Tribolium castaneum: one gene and its partner. Each later gene encodes a partner of the first gene's protein in a complex. Links are inferred from orthologs where the notes say so. Each region holds a gene or a part of one and is shown in the gene's direction. Other genes may lie near its edges.

The links. The genes of interacting proteins can lie anywhere in the genome.
Region 2: the proteins of Polr1B (region 1) and Polr2L are in contact, whole or in part, in a cryo-EM structure (PDB 7OBA), measured with the Homo sapiens proteins. The link is inferred for Tribolium castaneum from reciprocal best matches to the Homo sapiens genes POLR1B and POLR2L. Residues at the interface, in NP_061887.2 of Homo sapiens: Leu16, Leu19, Thr20, Asp21, Pro22, Tyr24, Gly25, Pro27, Ile157, His160, Glu161, Glu162, Ala163, Phe698, Leu701, Thr702, Arg713, Gln715, Thr716, Pro717, Gln718, Ser719, Leu721, Asp733, Asn734, Pro736, Asn740, Ala741, Ile742, Asn760; in NP_066951.1 of Homo sapiens: Met1, Ile2, Pro4, Arg6, Cys7, Phe8, Thr9, Cys10, Gly11, Trp18, Tyr21, Leu22, Leu25, Gln26, Glu31, Gly32, Arg42, Tyr43, Cys44, Arg46, Arg47, Met48, Leu50, Ala51, His52, Val53, Asp54, Leu55, Glu57, Lys58.

What each region holds. Positions count from the first base shown.
Region 1 is NC_087399.1:7,559,403-7,567,284, reverse strand, and holds part of Polr1B (DNA-directed RNA polymerase I subunit RPA2), read left to right. Parts: intron 1-5,012; coding exon 5,013-5,299; intron 5,300-5,349; coding exon 5,350-5,700; intron 5,701-5,754; coding exon 5,755-6,165; intron 6,166-6,998; coding exon 6,999-7,163; intron 7,164-7,882. UniProt on the Homo sapiens protein: Catalytic core component of RNA polymerase I (Pol I), a DNA-dependent RNA polymerase which synthesizes ribosomal RNA precursors using the four ribonucleoside triphosphates as substrates.
Region 2 is NC_087394.1:15,047,574-15,054,073, reverse strand, and holds Polr2L (RNA polymerase II subunit 10), read left to right. Parts: upstream 1-3,564; coding exon 3,565-3,768; downstream 3,769-6,500. Other genes in the region: Sumo (small ubiquitin-related modifier 3), read right to left, coding at 2,681-2,800, 2,887-2,904. UniProt on the Homo sapiens protein: DNA-dependent RNA polymerase catalyzes the transcription of DNA into RNA using the four ribonucleoside triphosphates as substrates.

The sequences.
Region 1 (7,882 bases):
TTTTTAGATAAAAAATTATAGTTTATTTATGCTTCTGATCGGAAAATAATATATAAATAATATATAATAATATATTATATAATACGTACACTATCGGACAAAAGTAAGGCAACATTTTGAAAAATATAGAAATTAATGTCTATCTAATGTAAATAAATTATGATCGGGCAAACTATGGTATTATTAAAAGAATCAAAGGAAGCTACTGTCTTTAATGTCAAGTAATTATTTATTAAGGTTGAAAAAAACCGCTTTGTTGACTTGTAGTGTAAAAAAGGATTATTTTAAGACGACAAAAGTAAGGCAACATTTAGATTTTTTTCAAAAAATGTTGTTATAATGAAAAATTTGTTAGGCCAATATTAACAGTTCGTTTTGTGCAACAAGAGCCATGCCAACGTATACCAATTGGTAAAGAGTTGAAAGAAAGAGTGATAGATGCTTTCTTAAACAATGAAAAACAAGCGGATATTGCAAGAAGATTTCAACTGCCTAGATACAGCGTGTCTAAAATAATTATTCGCTACAACGAAAGAGGACATTTAAACAATAATCCAAAATCGGGAAGACCACGAAAAACCACTATAAACATGGACAGACGCATTAAAAGAATTTCGGAAAACGATCCATGGAAATCTGCATCTAAAATTATAGCGGAAATACCGGAAGTAGGAGTTAGTACACGAACAATTCAAAGAAGACTGGTTGCAGCAAAGCTTTTTAGTAGACGTCGTGCTAAAAAACCTTTGATTTCCGAAAGAAATAGACGCGCCAGACTTCTATTTGCAAGAGAACATTTGAATTGGACAATGCAAGATTGGAGGAAAGTTCTGTTTAGTGACGAAACTCGATACAAATTATTTAATTCGGATGGAATGAAACGTGTAAGACGGCCAATCAATACATGATTCAACCCCAAGTATGTTACACCCACTGTTAAACATGGTCATGGTAGCGTTTTTCTGTGGGGGTGTTTTTCGTGGAATGGTGTGGGTCCGTTGAGCTTTATTGAGGGTAATATGGATCGGTTCATGTATAGGGACATACTCCAAGATGTAATGCTGCCGTATGTAGAATGGGAAATGCCTCTTCGTTTTATCTTTCAACAAGATAACGACCCCAAACACACTTCTGCATTGGTCAGTGAGTGGATCCAAAATAATAATATTCATGTTTTGCAATGGCCTGCCCAATCACCAGACCTCAACCCAATTGAGAACTTATGGGAAGAGGTAGAGCGACGAATCCGGATACAAAGATTTCCTAACAAGCAATCTTTGATAGATAAAATCAAGGAAGTGTGGTCAAATCTGGATGGCAATGTTATTCAAAAATTAATTTCTTCAATGCCCAGACGGTGCCAAAAAATTATACTTAATAACGGCTATGCCATAAATTATTGAATTTTTCGTTCTATTTATTTAAATTTTAGTGTTGGGTAGTGTTATGGAAATGTTGAATAAAATAAAATTTGAGTTGAAAATATTTTCTGACAATGTTGCCTTACTTTTGTCACATTAATATCGGGCATTTTTATATTTCAAGCTAGTAGTATGTCATAATAATTACCCACAGGCTATCCATTTTCAACACGAATAAGAATATCTTTAAACATTTATTATAAAATTAAATTGAAAGTAAATACCAACTCTTAAAATTTAAAATACCAATATGTGTATATTTTTCAACATTTTGCCTTACTTTTGTCCGATAGTGTATATAATATGTATATAATAATATATAATACATAAATAAATAAAAAATTAAAATAAAATAAAAATAAATATACAGGGTGTCCCACCGAAAAGGGCACCCCCCTCATAACTTTTTTATTTATTAATTAATTTAAACAAAATTTAAATTACACCTTTTAGAACCAAAGGTCCACATTTTAGCGCTACAAGTTTTTTTTTGAACGTATCATTTATGAAATAATTAATTTAAAATTAAGAAAAAAAATTGGAAAATTGTTTAACTGCATATTATTAAAAGAAGCAAGTTTTCATTAACGTATTAGCAAACATCGTTTTACCAGAAGTAATGCAGATTCTTTAAAACCTTTTTTTTAAAATCGCAATGTCACTTTGACATAAAAATGTCGAAAGATATTCAATTCCTTTATTATTCAGATATATATTCCTTCAAGATTATATAAATAATCTAAAAACTATTAAATTTAAATTTTACTTTAGACACTTTATTTACAATTTGCGACATAGAAAAACAGTATACTTCGTTATTTTGCTACCATGTTTGGTATTGAAAAGAATTCTATAAACCTTGGATACTTTTACGGTGAACAATGATCATTTTGCGTTATACACAAAAATACTTTGGATATTTTTATGTTGGATGAAATTACGTTTTTGACTTTTTTACGGTGGACAGAAGTATTGTAGCAACGTTTTCTTTGTACACCATGAAGTTTAACAACAGATAATGGTGTTTAAGATCAGCGAGCCTCACAATAAGATGTTTTGACAAGGGCGACCCGAAAATATTTACGATATCGATCGGTTCGTTGAAAGATTGCAACCTGTCTGCAATAAATCACACAATAAGCTTGCCTGAATAATTAATTAGCTTGAAAGGTCCTTGTGGTTTGGGCTAATCATAATAAAAATCATTTTACTTTGGACAGAAATACTTTGGACTTTTTTACTTTGGACATAATTGGCTCTCCCGTTTTTTAATGAGTTTTCTATTATAAATACTAAATTGAAGAGGTCTCCATTTTTTAATGAAATGGAAAAACTACTTAACTGGTTAGGTATTTTGCTTACAAGGGCAAAAATAATAAAAAAATCTCATCAAGTCCAATTGTTAGGGACAAATCTTCTTTTGAAGGTTTTTGGTTTTATATCTGTTCTTATTTCTTCACATTACATAATTATGTATTCTGTAAAACAGTAAAAAATCTAAGTACAACACATTTCTTCTACTTTTAAAGAATGCATTAAATTTAATTTTGACTTGCATACTTTTGCTGAAAACACAAAAAAAAATAATACGTAATAACGAGTATGTAGTACGCTATTAAATATTTAGCGAATTTTTTCATAGCTCTTTTAAAATAATTTTTAATTATACATCAATGTGCATTTTACACTTTGTATTTTTGTTATTATTAATGTTCTGATTTTGAATTTTTTGAAGTTAGTCACTTGCACTTTGCGTATATTTTAATTACAAAAATCGTAGTTGCCAACAAATTTATTTTTTTTGCTGCCACCTACAAAAACAAAATTAAAATTGATTTTTTTTATTTATTTTTCTATTGTTGTTACACTTTTATTTAGTTCTTAAAACGCTTATTTTACAGGTTTTTATCTTTAGAGTTTTTGTTTATAAGCTTCAAATAACTGTTTTGTTGTAGCTGTCGAATCATTATTATACATTAATTTGCTTCTCTTATTTGCATTTTTTATGTGGCAATGTAATTGTCTTCTTGTGTTTATTTTTATTTTTTTAAATTACCAAATAATTATTCTATTGCTGGCTGATTAGTGATTACTGATCACACCATTTTGCAGTAATTTTTTTTAATTTGGATTAGAGAAAAAGATATAACAGCTACAAGGGAGAGAACAGTAAAAGATGCTCAATAATTTAAAGAATTTTGAATTAAAGTCAAACTTTTTCAGTCTGCGGATTATTTTTTCTTTCACAAACAATTCAGATAGGGATAAAAAGGGTAGATAATCGAAAAGACAATTCATTTATCATCGATTTTTTTTATTTGTGAGCTAGATAAATCATTTGAAATTGGTTGAAATAGTTGGTACAAATTAAATGCACAGTATTTTATTTGAACGATTTATTTTATTTACTGTGCATTTATTATTTTTACTGTGCATTTATTATTTTTTACTGATCAAAATCGAATTTATTACTGATCGCTTTATTTAATTTAATTTAATTTAATTTGTCGATTTTTTAAATTCTTTTAGTTTTTGGTTCATGAATGAGCTAAAATTTCCAGAATTGGCTGAAACCACTGAGTATATGGTGAAACAAAGAAGCAAATAAAGAATAAATATTTGCATATTAAAAACATTGTTTTTTATTTTGTTATACTTTTCTGTTTCTTATTCTTTTTTCTATGTTTACGTTATTATATCTTATTTTCAAAAACTAGTCGGTTTGTTTCGACAAGATCTGTTGGAAGTTATTTTCTGGTGAAAAAAGAGAATTTACTAAAACATTTTTCGGACCTGCTTTCGGGACTTTTTTAGTTTATTTCAGTGCCTAACTAGCCTGAATTTTAAGAGCAATGAAATAAAAAAAATGATCTATTCAAATAATGGTAAGCACAAGGTAAAAAAATACAGAATCGGCATTTTCAATAGTAATTCGAGACAAAAGTACAAAAATTTTAGTGACAATAAAAAAAAATATGGACGTATCCGAATTGCACACCATGGTGAGAAAAACAGGAACCTCTTGACCAGTTGTCCCTTATCGGTAACCGAGCGGTGCATCAAAATTTTATAATTTTATTTATTGAAGGAATAATAAAAAAAATCAGTATATTATCTATCAAACATTATAGGGTAAGTTCGAATAAGATAGATTACATACAAAAGATTGCAATTTGTTTTTCATTTGGTTATTCAAAAAAACTTTTTTCTTTACTGCTCGTTAACTGAATTTTTACATTATGTCGTAACTTAAAAATTTAGTAAATTATTTACAAATGTGAAAATATTCACAAGGAGAGACACTTCCTATCCTTACCTGTGTTTGATTTTGTTGAAAATTGACGGTGGTATTCAACGAAAAAAAAAAACTTTTATCAAAAACTGTTTAGTTCTAATTTTCATTGGGTAAAAAAAGTGTAAAGAGTAAAGTTGTGAAGAATCAAATTTTCTGCTAAAAACTGGAGACCCTATCTCTATTCTCAGCTGTTTTGGTGCTATCCTGTCATTCAGCCACCAGTAAAAAAAATAATTTTTGTTTTAACGTATTTATTAAAAACCGAAGTGTTTTGCAATTTTTCGTGTTTTTTTTAGGTGTTACGACCCACATGGAGCTCTCCAAACTGGCCTTCCTCTCAAACCTAGCCCAACTAATCCCCATGCCCGACTGCAACCAATCACCCCGTAACATGTACCAGTGCCAGATGGGCAAACAAACAATGGGCACTCCTTGCCACAACTGGCGTTCCCAATCCGAAACCAAACTCTACCGCCTCCAAACACCGGCGACTCCCCTTTTCCGACCCGTCCACTACGACAACATCAACCTTGACGACTTCGCCATGGGCACAAACGCCATTGTTGCCGTTATCAGCTACACTGTAAACCCATTAACTTCGGAAAAATCCCCAATTGAACCATCTGTTCCCAGGGCTATGACATGGAAGACGCAATGATAATAAACAAAGCCGCGGACGAGCGTGGTTTTGCCCACGGTTCCATTTACAAAACCGAATTTGTAACACTTGAACACGAGTCTTCGTATTTTTGCCGAAACCCGGAAAAACCGGAACTGGCCGAATTCTTAGACACGGACGGCTTGCCAATCATCGGACGCCGAATGAAAGATGGGGATCCCCTGTACTGTTACTACAGTGTGGACGAGTCGGTGTACAAAGTAACCAAGTTTTCGGGGAAAGAGGAGTGTTTTGTCGACATGGTTAAACTGTGCGCCAGTTTTGAAACGACCAATCGGACGGCGTGTTTCACGTTCAGAGTCCCGGTACTTCCCCCACATTTTTTTTTATTGAGTTCTTGGTAATTATTTTAATTGTAGCGTAACCCGAACGTTGGCGATAAATTCGCAAGTCGGGCAGGACAAAAGGGCATTTGTTCGCAAAAGTGGCCCATGGAGGACTTACCTTTTACGGAGACAGGGCTTGTGCCTGATATTGTCTTCAACCCTCATGGGTTTCCCTCTCGTATGACCATCGCTATGATGATTGAGGTCATGGCTGGGAAATCGGCAGCGCTTCATGGGCTAGTACATGATGCAACTCCCTTTAAATTTACAGAAGAAGACACTGCGATTGATTATTTTGGTCGGTTGTTGGAAGCAGGGGGTTATAATTATTACGGGACTGAGACCATGTATTCGGGGATTGATGGTAGGGAAATGACAGCGCAAATATTTTTCGGGATCGTTCACTACCAGCGCTTGAGACACATGGTTTCGGATAAGTGGCAGGTGATTAAAAAAAAAGTCGGATCACTTTTGTAATATTGGGATATTGGAGATTTTCATTCTGTTGTATTCGGACCAAGTTATGTTACTAAATTTGACAGTTGGCAATGCTTTTACTACTGTCATGAAAATTTGAAGTTTGTCTTTGACATTGTCAAAATTAACGAATTTAAAAGAATTAAGCGTGCAGCAACGAACTAGCCCCCTATTGCTGTTTGTGTAACCCCATCAAATTGGCTGGGGGGCCACCAAGACACTCAGCAACCACTGACAAAGGTTATTTTCAATATTATGACGAGAGAGATTAAATCAATCTGCGGCTCACAAAAAACAATAACTAATTATTTGTCTAAAATAACTTGTAAAGTAGGTTTTACCGGCCTTCTTTTTTGTCCGTTCATATTTTCAATACACAAGTTTATTTGGTGTATTTGATTAGTTGTCCATTAATTTATTTAGATTTCTTATTAAAATGTGTTATATTTGATAGTTTTTGTCATGTTTTGACTGTAAATAATATTGAGTGAAGCAGTTTTATGATTGTCTGAACGTCCCTTTTTAGCGACTTAAAGTGCAAATAATGTACTCAAATATCGGTAAAATGACTAAGCAGTGTTACTTACAAGCAGAAAACTTGACTGACTTAACGTATTTTGTAGGATTTGAACAATTTGACACTGACATATAACGTAACCTGTTTTTGAAAGCCTAAATTCGCGGTAAACTAACTTACAATGCCAAAATTTTCAAGTTTATGCGATTTTGTTTAATATTATTATTATTGTTTTATAATTTTTGTGTTGTATTTTTTATTTTTTTTTTATGGAAATTTGTAGGTGCGTTCAACTGGGCCGACCGATATTTTGACGAGACAGCCCCTCAAAGGGCGGAAACGAGGAGGGGGTGTGCGATTTGGAGAGATGGAACGTGATTCGTTGATCAGTCATGGCGCTTCGTTTTTGTTACAAGATCGCTTATTCCACTGTTCCGATAAAACAACAGTACGTACATAATTATTAATTAATACTTCTAGGTAAAAAAACGTTGCTCGAATAGTGTGAGTTTTTCACCCATCTTAGCTTCATTTTTGACAAATTTTCTCTCTTCTACTGTATGTTTTTCCGAAATTTCGCGAAATAATTGCGTTTCTGGTTGAAAATCGTGTTAAAACGTTTTTGCGCCCAGATTAGTTGGTTTAAAATGTGTTTAAATACTTGAAAAAGGTTGAAAAAACAGCATTATTGATTTAATTTGCTGGTTTTTTGTATTAGTTAAAAATTTTGCGAGATAATTACATTTCTTATTAAAACACGCCCAAAAACTCTGATATACGTTTTGATATAATTTTTACGGTTTTTTCGGTCCTATATCTCAGCGGTTCCCCACCTTTTTCACCTTTCGAACCCCTTCTAACATCCGACAGATATTGTTGAATTATTTATTACGTATTTTTTATATTTTTTGTTTTAAAATTAGGAACAGATTACAGTAAATACTTTCAGCCAATTCATTTGGAGGAATTTTAGTAAAAAAAAAATTGCGTCCAGTATTTGATTTATTTTGAAAAAATGTCACTAATGTTGGCAAAATATCCTAGATGAAAATATAGATACGAAAACACAGAAACAGGGTCAAATTCCGTTATCAGATAACAGTTTTTGATGTAGATGTGACAAAAAGTGCTTAATTAACGCTGCAATTTCCAATTTTTATTAAAAAG
Region 2 (6,500 bases), on another chromosome or scaffold:
AGAGATCTAGTGAATGCTTGAATTGGTATTTTTGGTTGCATCTAAGATCATTTCAGAAATAATAATCCACTCTGTATTATAAATTCTGTCAAAACGTCGTTTAGATTTTGTCAATATGACAGTTTTTTGCAGTTTACCAAAGAATTACTGTAATATTTATTTATTACATTATTATTTATATATTTATTTTTAATGCCTGGCAACCTATTTTGATTCAAAATAATTACTGAGGTTCAGCTTCTGGGATTGGTGGATTTCATAGTCCTATTATTCGAACAACGTTCAACATGGATTTTTTTTGTCAACATTTACAGACACCTAATTGTCTACGCCACGTCCCCCTTTTCTCTGGGGAGTGAGTTCTGATACACGTTCTATAAAAACGCCAACATCGCACTTTCTTTCAAAATTAGCAGTTATAAAATATTCATGTACTTCAAAAAAATAATAGCTAATGTGATTTATATTTTCAATGAGAGATCTAATCATTAATAACTATTTCACAATTTTATCAATCTTATTTAAAAAAAATAATTCAGGAAAATGTAACGTTGGCGTTATTATAGTTTTGAAACAGCTAAAACTATTGAAAACAATGAACAAAAATGTCGATTTCCATTTAAAATAATTAAAAATGACGTCATTACTCAGAAACCAGTGATGTCACAAATGTGACTATGATGTAACATTTACAAATATAAAATCGACATGTTCGAGGATGTTTTTTGAAATTTTGTTTGAAAATGACTCCCAACAAAAATATGAATTTTATGCGTTACTTAACTTACTCTAGTTATTCGGAAGTAAAATTACCGTTGGGGGTGCCACTGAGCTAGGTCGAAAGCATTAACCATAAATGGCGGGAAATTTTTTATTCGAATATTTTGAGCGTTGTACGAATTTTGAAACTTCACAATTATTTCATTGTCTATACGGGATGACTATTGTATCTTTGGTGCAAGAAACGAATGTTGACAAATTAGAGATGATGAGGAAAACACGAATAACGAATGACTGCTTGGTTCACTTTTTTATTGGAAAATTATTACAAAGGCATCGAAAAGCCTACCTTTTGACATAATTTACATTTAAATGTCTCAGCAGTTTTTAATCTTAATTGTAGTTTTGTAAATTTACCAATGTATTTCATGATTTTTCCTGTGGAAAAATTCTAATCTAAAATTCACACACTTCACTAATTTATTGGTTTCCTGAGCCCAACTTTGTGTTCGCTGTATCCATTACTTATGGTCTTTAATTTGACAACTTTAATTTGTAATCAAAATTTAAATCTTTTTCACTTTTTATCCACTTTCAAATTCCAAGAATAAACACTTTATACCACGAAAAACCGCAGAACCAAAGTCAAAGCTAGTATTTACCACCACGTACTTTTAAGGTAGTTGGTGCCTAAATTAACATTCTTAAGATTTCTTTTAAATTTTAACAGATTATTGTTCAAAGAATTCCATATCGATGGTGCAAAAATGAAAAAGATTGACCGTCTAGTTTCGGAGACATTGAATTTTGAAAATTGAGTTTTTGACTCTTTTACATTGCGGCATATGGTGAATCAAAATTTTTTTGTACGTTTTTTGGTATAGCTATCAAACCCTTCTTAAGATTTTTTTTAAAAACTAAATCATCATTCAGCAACATCAAATAAGTATTTTAAGGGGAAAAAAACTGGGGGTCACCGTCCAAATTTTGGAGATATTAATTAATAAACGATAAGAAATTTGTAGTAAAAGGGTTACACTAAAATAGAACTGGCAACACAGCGCATCTGTAAAACCGCTAAAAATGAATTTTGAATCAGTTAACAAACAAAACAAATATCCCGACACAGAATTTTTGACTTTGGAGCTATGTTCGGGATAGTTAGGAAGTAAATAGATTAAAAATGGCTGTTCCTACGAGGTGAGCGTGCCACAGGGGCCACCTAGAAGATGTAATTACGGTTTTTTTCGGTTAAATTTCGAAAATAGGACGCGTTTACAGTAAAACCGCTGTAGCTTTTCATCGTTTATCGATGGTTTTAGCCTAATAATTCTTCCTTTGTGATGTAATTATTTGACACATTTGACATTTTCAATCGAAACTCCGACAGTGTTGTCACATTCCACAAATGAGTTATGACTGGCCAGGGCAGTACATTCACAGTAAAAATTTTTGGGTTGGTTACTGTGGATACTATACACTGTGGCACCATATATTCTTTTGGCCTAACTTTTTGCTCCGATTGTAAGGCCCCAACTACCTTAAAGTGATTCTCTCTACTGTAAGTAATTAACACTACACACGCAAAATTGTTAAATTAAAAAATTAAATTAAATATTGAATTACGAAAATTTCGTTACTGTTTTCGACATAGTTCAAAAGTCGTCACCAGAGGGCGTCTAGTTAATTTTATTTCCGAATACAACCAATCACTACGCACAGGAGTGAACAAACATTAACAAATCCTGGTTTAGACATTTAAGAAGTTGAGTTGCAACAAATGTGGCGGTTTCAGACGTCCAAACATGAAAAAAATGCAAATCATGGCACATTAAAGACTTGGAGAAAGGATGCGGCTTTTGATACATTTTAGTAAACACAAGTATGAATCACAATCCATGTTCTTACTCATTTGTCCCAGTAATAAACTAAAGAATCTGAGATAAAGTGTAACACTTACCGCTCTTTCACAATAAGCCCCCATCAGCTTCCTGAGAGGGGTGTGCTTTTTGATCTTGAACTGGACGACAGCATTATCTTGTCCCAGTACTTTCAAGTTGATATGTTCCGTTTCATTGCTCTGCAAAGTCCCAAAAACGTGAGTATCAGTTCAAAATTACGGGAAAAAAACCTCGTTTATGGTTAGGAAAGAAAAGTCATGTTTACCTTCTTTTCGTCACCCATATTTGGCAAATTTGGTTGTGGCTTGTAGGAGGGTCTGGGGCCGAAGTTGATGCACAAATGTAAACGGTTTTAGTGGAATTTGGTGCACTTTTAACCGTTTTATCAACAGACACGCAGCTTGCCGCTAACAAATAATGGCCGGCTTGCTTGCAAAGTAGCGGTAACTGCTCGCCGGAAGTGACTACGCGGTTAGTCAAAGTCGGCTTTAGCTGTTCAAACTTCACACTTCCGCTTGAAACATTTGTAGAAATTTACCACTTCACGTTGACAAAACGTGCTTGAAACAACGCGGTAAATTAATACAAAAAATTAGGCTTTGTTTTCAATATAACTTTCACATGTTTTCTGCGATTTTTTAATAATTTAATCAAGAAATTAATCCTTATTTGTTATTGCCGTCGACAGATGGCAGGCCACAAGCTTCAATTGATCAGGAGCACCAATATTCCAGAAGTGAAGAACCCAGAAATTCACGAAATTAGAAATCAAAAAGCTTCTAGAAAAGCGCAGTTAAAGCTTTTTGAAAGTAATCTAATTTAAAGTCTAAATACCAACGCAACAAATTTTGATTAAGCGAGAGTGTGAGGTACAGAATTTGGTTAATTTTTGATGTGTCAGTGAAAAATTAGGTTATATTTTTTCAGGTTTTGTCGAGACAAGATGATTATACCGGTTCGTTGTTTTACTTGTGGGAAAGTTATTGGAAATAAATGGGAGGCTTATCTTGGGCTTTTGCAAGCTGAATATACGGAAGGAGATGCTTTGGATGCTTTGGGTTTGAAGAGGTACTGTTGCAGAAGAATGCTTCTTGGACACGTCGATCTTATTGAAAAGTTATTGAATTATGCTCCTTTAGAGAAGTAATCTGTAGTAGTAAGTCTGTTAAGTAAGTGTAGGTGTAAGTTTAATTTTATGGCATGTAAAAAGGCGCGTTTTTGAATAAATTTTACTATTATGCCTTGTCTTTCATAAACCAGCATTTTTGCAACATCCTATTTAGTTTTTCCTACTTCACGAGTTCACGGTAACTTTTTTGTTTATTTTTATAAAGTTATTCAAAAAAATTGCATTATCTTTGTTAATTCAACCATGTCTAGAGGGTCAAGAAAGTGTCGATATGGTGATAAGGGATGTCCAGTAAAGTTTAGAAATGAAGTCAGATCTTTTCCCAAGCAACTTGATTTTTTTATCATTCTTGTATTTGTTTTCTTTAGCAACCATTTTAATTGTTGTTTTGTTTCCAGTGATTAATAATATTAATATGATTAATATTAAATTATTTATTGTATAATTTGCTAATTTAAGTGTTTGTAACACCATAAGACAATAATTGTTGGTGATTTTTTTAAAAGATACAGGGTGACTCAGGGGTGCGGTCTGTAACTTTTTTGTTACTTGAAATTTTGCCATGTTTTCGTTTTCATTATTCTATAGATAGACTTAAAGTCCACAAACTATCTTTTTTTTATTATACACAGGGTGTTGTATACATCCTGGTTTACTAGAGTTATATTTTTTGAAATGAAACACCCCATACATTTTCACATAATTATATTCTATGCAAAAAGTAATGTAACTTTAAATAAACTATTATGGGTTTATCTCTTTTCGTTTTAAAATTATTCAACTTCTCGTTATGAAAAAGACCATCTTTAGAAAAATCACTGCGAAGTCGCTTATGAATATTTTCCGATAAATTTGCAACAGAATAAGTCAGAATATCCCGTAATTTTAATAATAGTCGACTTTTACTTGAAACACGCAGGTAATGTACATGGTGTGCCAGAACGCAAAAAGTTGAATAACATTTTTTTTTTCAAATGGAACACTATCTATTTCTTTACACTATCCAATGATATGCGATTTGTACAACAAATTAGAAATATCTCTTATTTTTTTTCTTCATTTCATTTATGTTTCAAGTAATAATTAAATTATTAATGTAAATAGTCACATTGGTACATGTCAAAAAATAAATTACAATTTGACTTATCACATTGTAGAATAACAAATTTCCTTGTAATAAAATATTTTTTTGAAAAATCTCGAAAAACGTTTTAAATTTGCTATGCAAATCCTTCCATTTGAAAAAAAAGAGTTATTCAACTTTTTGCGTTTTGGCACACCCTGTACATGGTTTGCGTGTTTCACGTAAAAGTCGACTATTTGCTGAAACTGTAAAAAAATCTGTGGAATAAAAAAGATTGTATAAATAACTGAAAAATTAAAAACCATCCACTTCAAAATCACGAAATTTTAGAAACTCGTGTGTGTAAAGACAATAATTTTTCTAACCAAAACCAAAAAATCTTACTATCATCATAAATTGGATAATATGTATAAATTTCATTTTTAGTTATAGTTTTTCAAGATTTCCAGCTTCATATTTTTCTAGGTTTTGATTTTTTAAGATATACAGGGGTGGTCCAGCCCAGCACCCGTCTTCTGCAGCTCAGTTACTATTAAAGTTGTTTCTATTTTTTAATGATTTTTAAAACTAAAGGTGTAAAACCGTGTTTTTTTAATTTGTATTTTTTTAACAGTAATCTCCTAACCGATTTGAAAAAAATAGAGACATGTAAGAAGCTAAAAAAATATCATAATGAGCACAAAAAATAATAGGATGCCATAAAAAAATTATTATTATGATGTCATACTTTTTGAGGACACTATATAGTTAATATATTTTCCTGAAATGTGTCCTAGAGTATAAATAAGTAATATCTACAAAATATCAAAACTCCAACTTTAATAATAACTGAGCTACAGGAGACGGGAACTGGGCTGGATCATCCTGTATTCAATTTTAAACTTTTACCTTTAATTTGGTTAATTTTTTGCGAAATAGTAACGTTTTGAATGAAAGACAAATTTACTTAGAAAAATTTCACGCTTGAAAATCCAATTGATTGCCATTGTAAAATTAGATTGGTGTAAGAATAACGGTTTAAATGGAAAAACAGCATACACTCTCTAAACTAATAACAGCAATAACTATGAGTAAGTCATTCAAAGAGGCTGGTTAAATAAGTTAATTTTGGGTCTAGTTAAAAATTAAATAAAAAGAAGATACTGTGATTTAGCTTGTGACAGCTGAGTTAATTGTAAACTGTGAAGCACAAACTAACTATCCTTCCTTGAGGTTCGAGTGCGGTTATTTGTGTTAAAAGAAACAAAAATGATAATTTTTGTATTTATTTATTATTCAAACAATAAACCTGTACAGAACAAATTTCATAATGGACAGCACTGTAAGTGTGATGTAACGTAAAATCATTTGGAAACTGATTCAAACAGAGAAAATCAGATCAAATTGAGTCGTGATTCTTACGTACGGACGTGCGATTAAAATAGACTCCTTTGTCAGACAAATATTTATTTATTAGTTTCGATGATATTAGTCTTATGATCTAATCGTAATTTTTAAATGCCGATTTTTTTCAGTGCATAGTGTGTATAATCAACAAGTGTGTTATACATCACTAGAACATTAATACAAAATACAGTTATTTCATGACTACTTGTTAAACTCTAGTTTGACTAATTATTAACCATGAGAAAGCAACAAATTTAAAGTTAATAAGATAAAATAAATC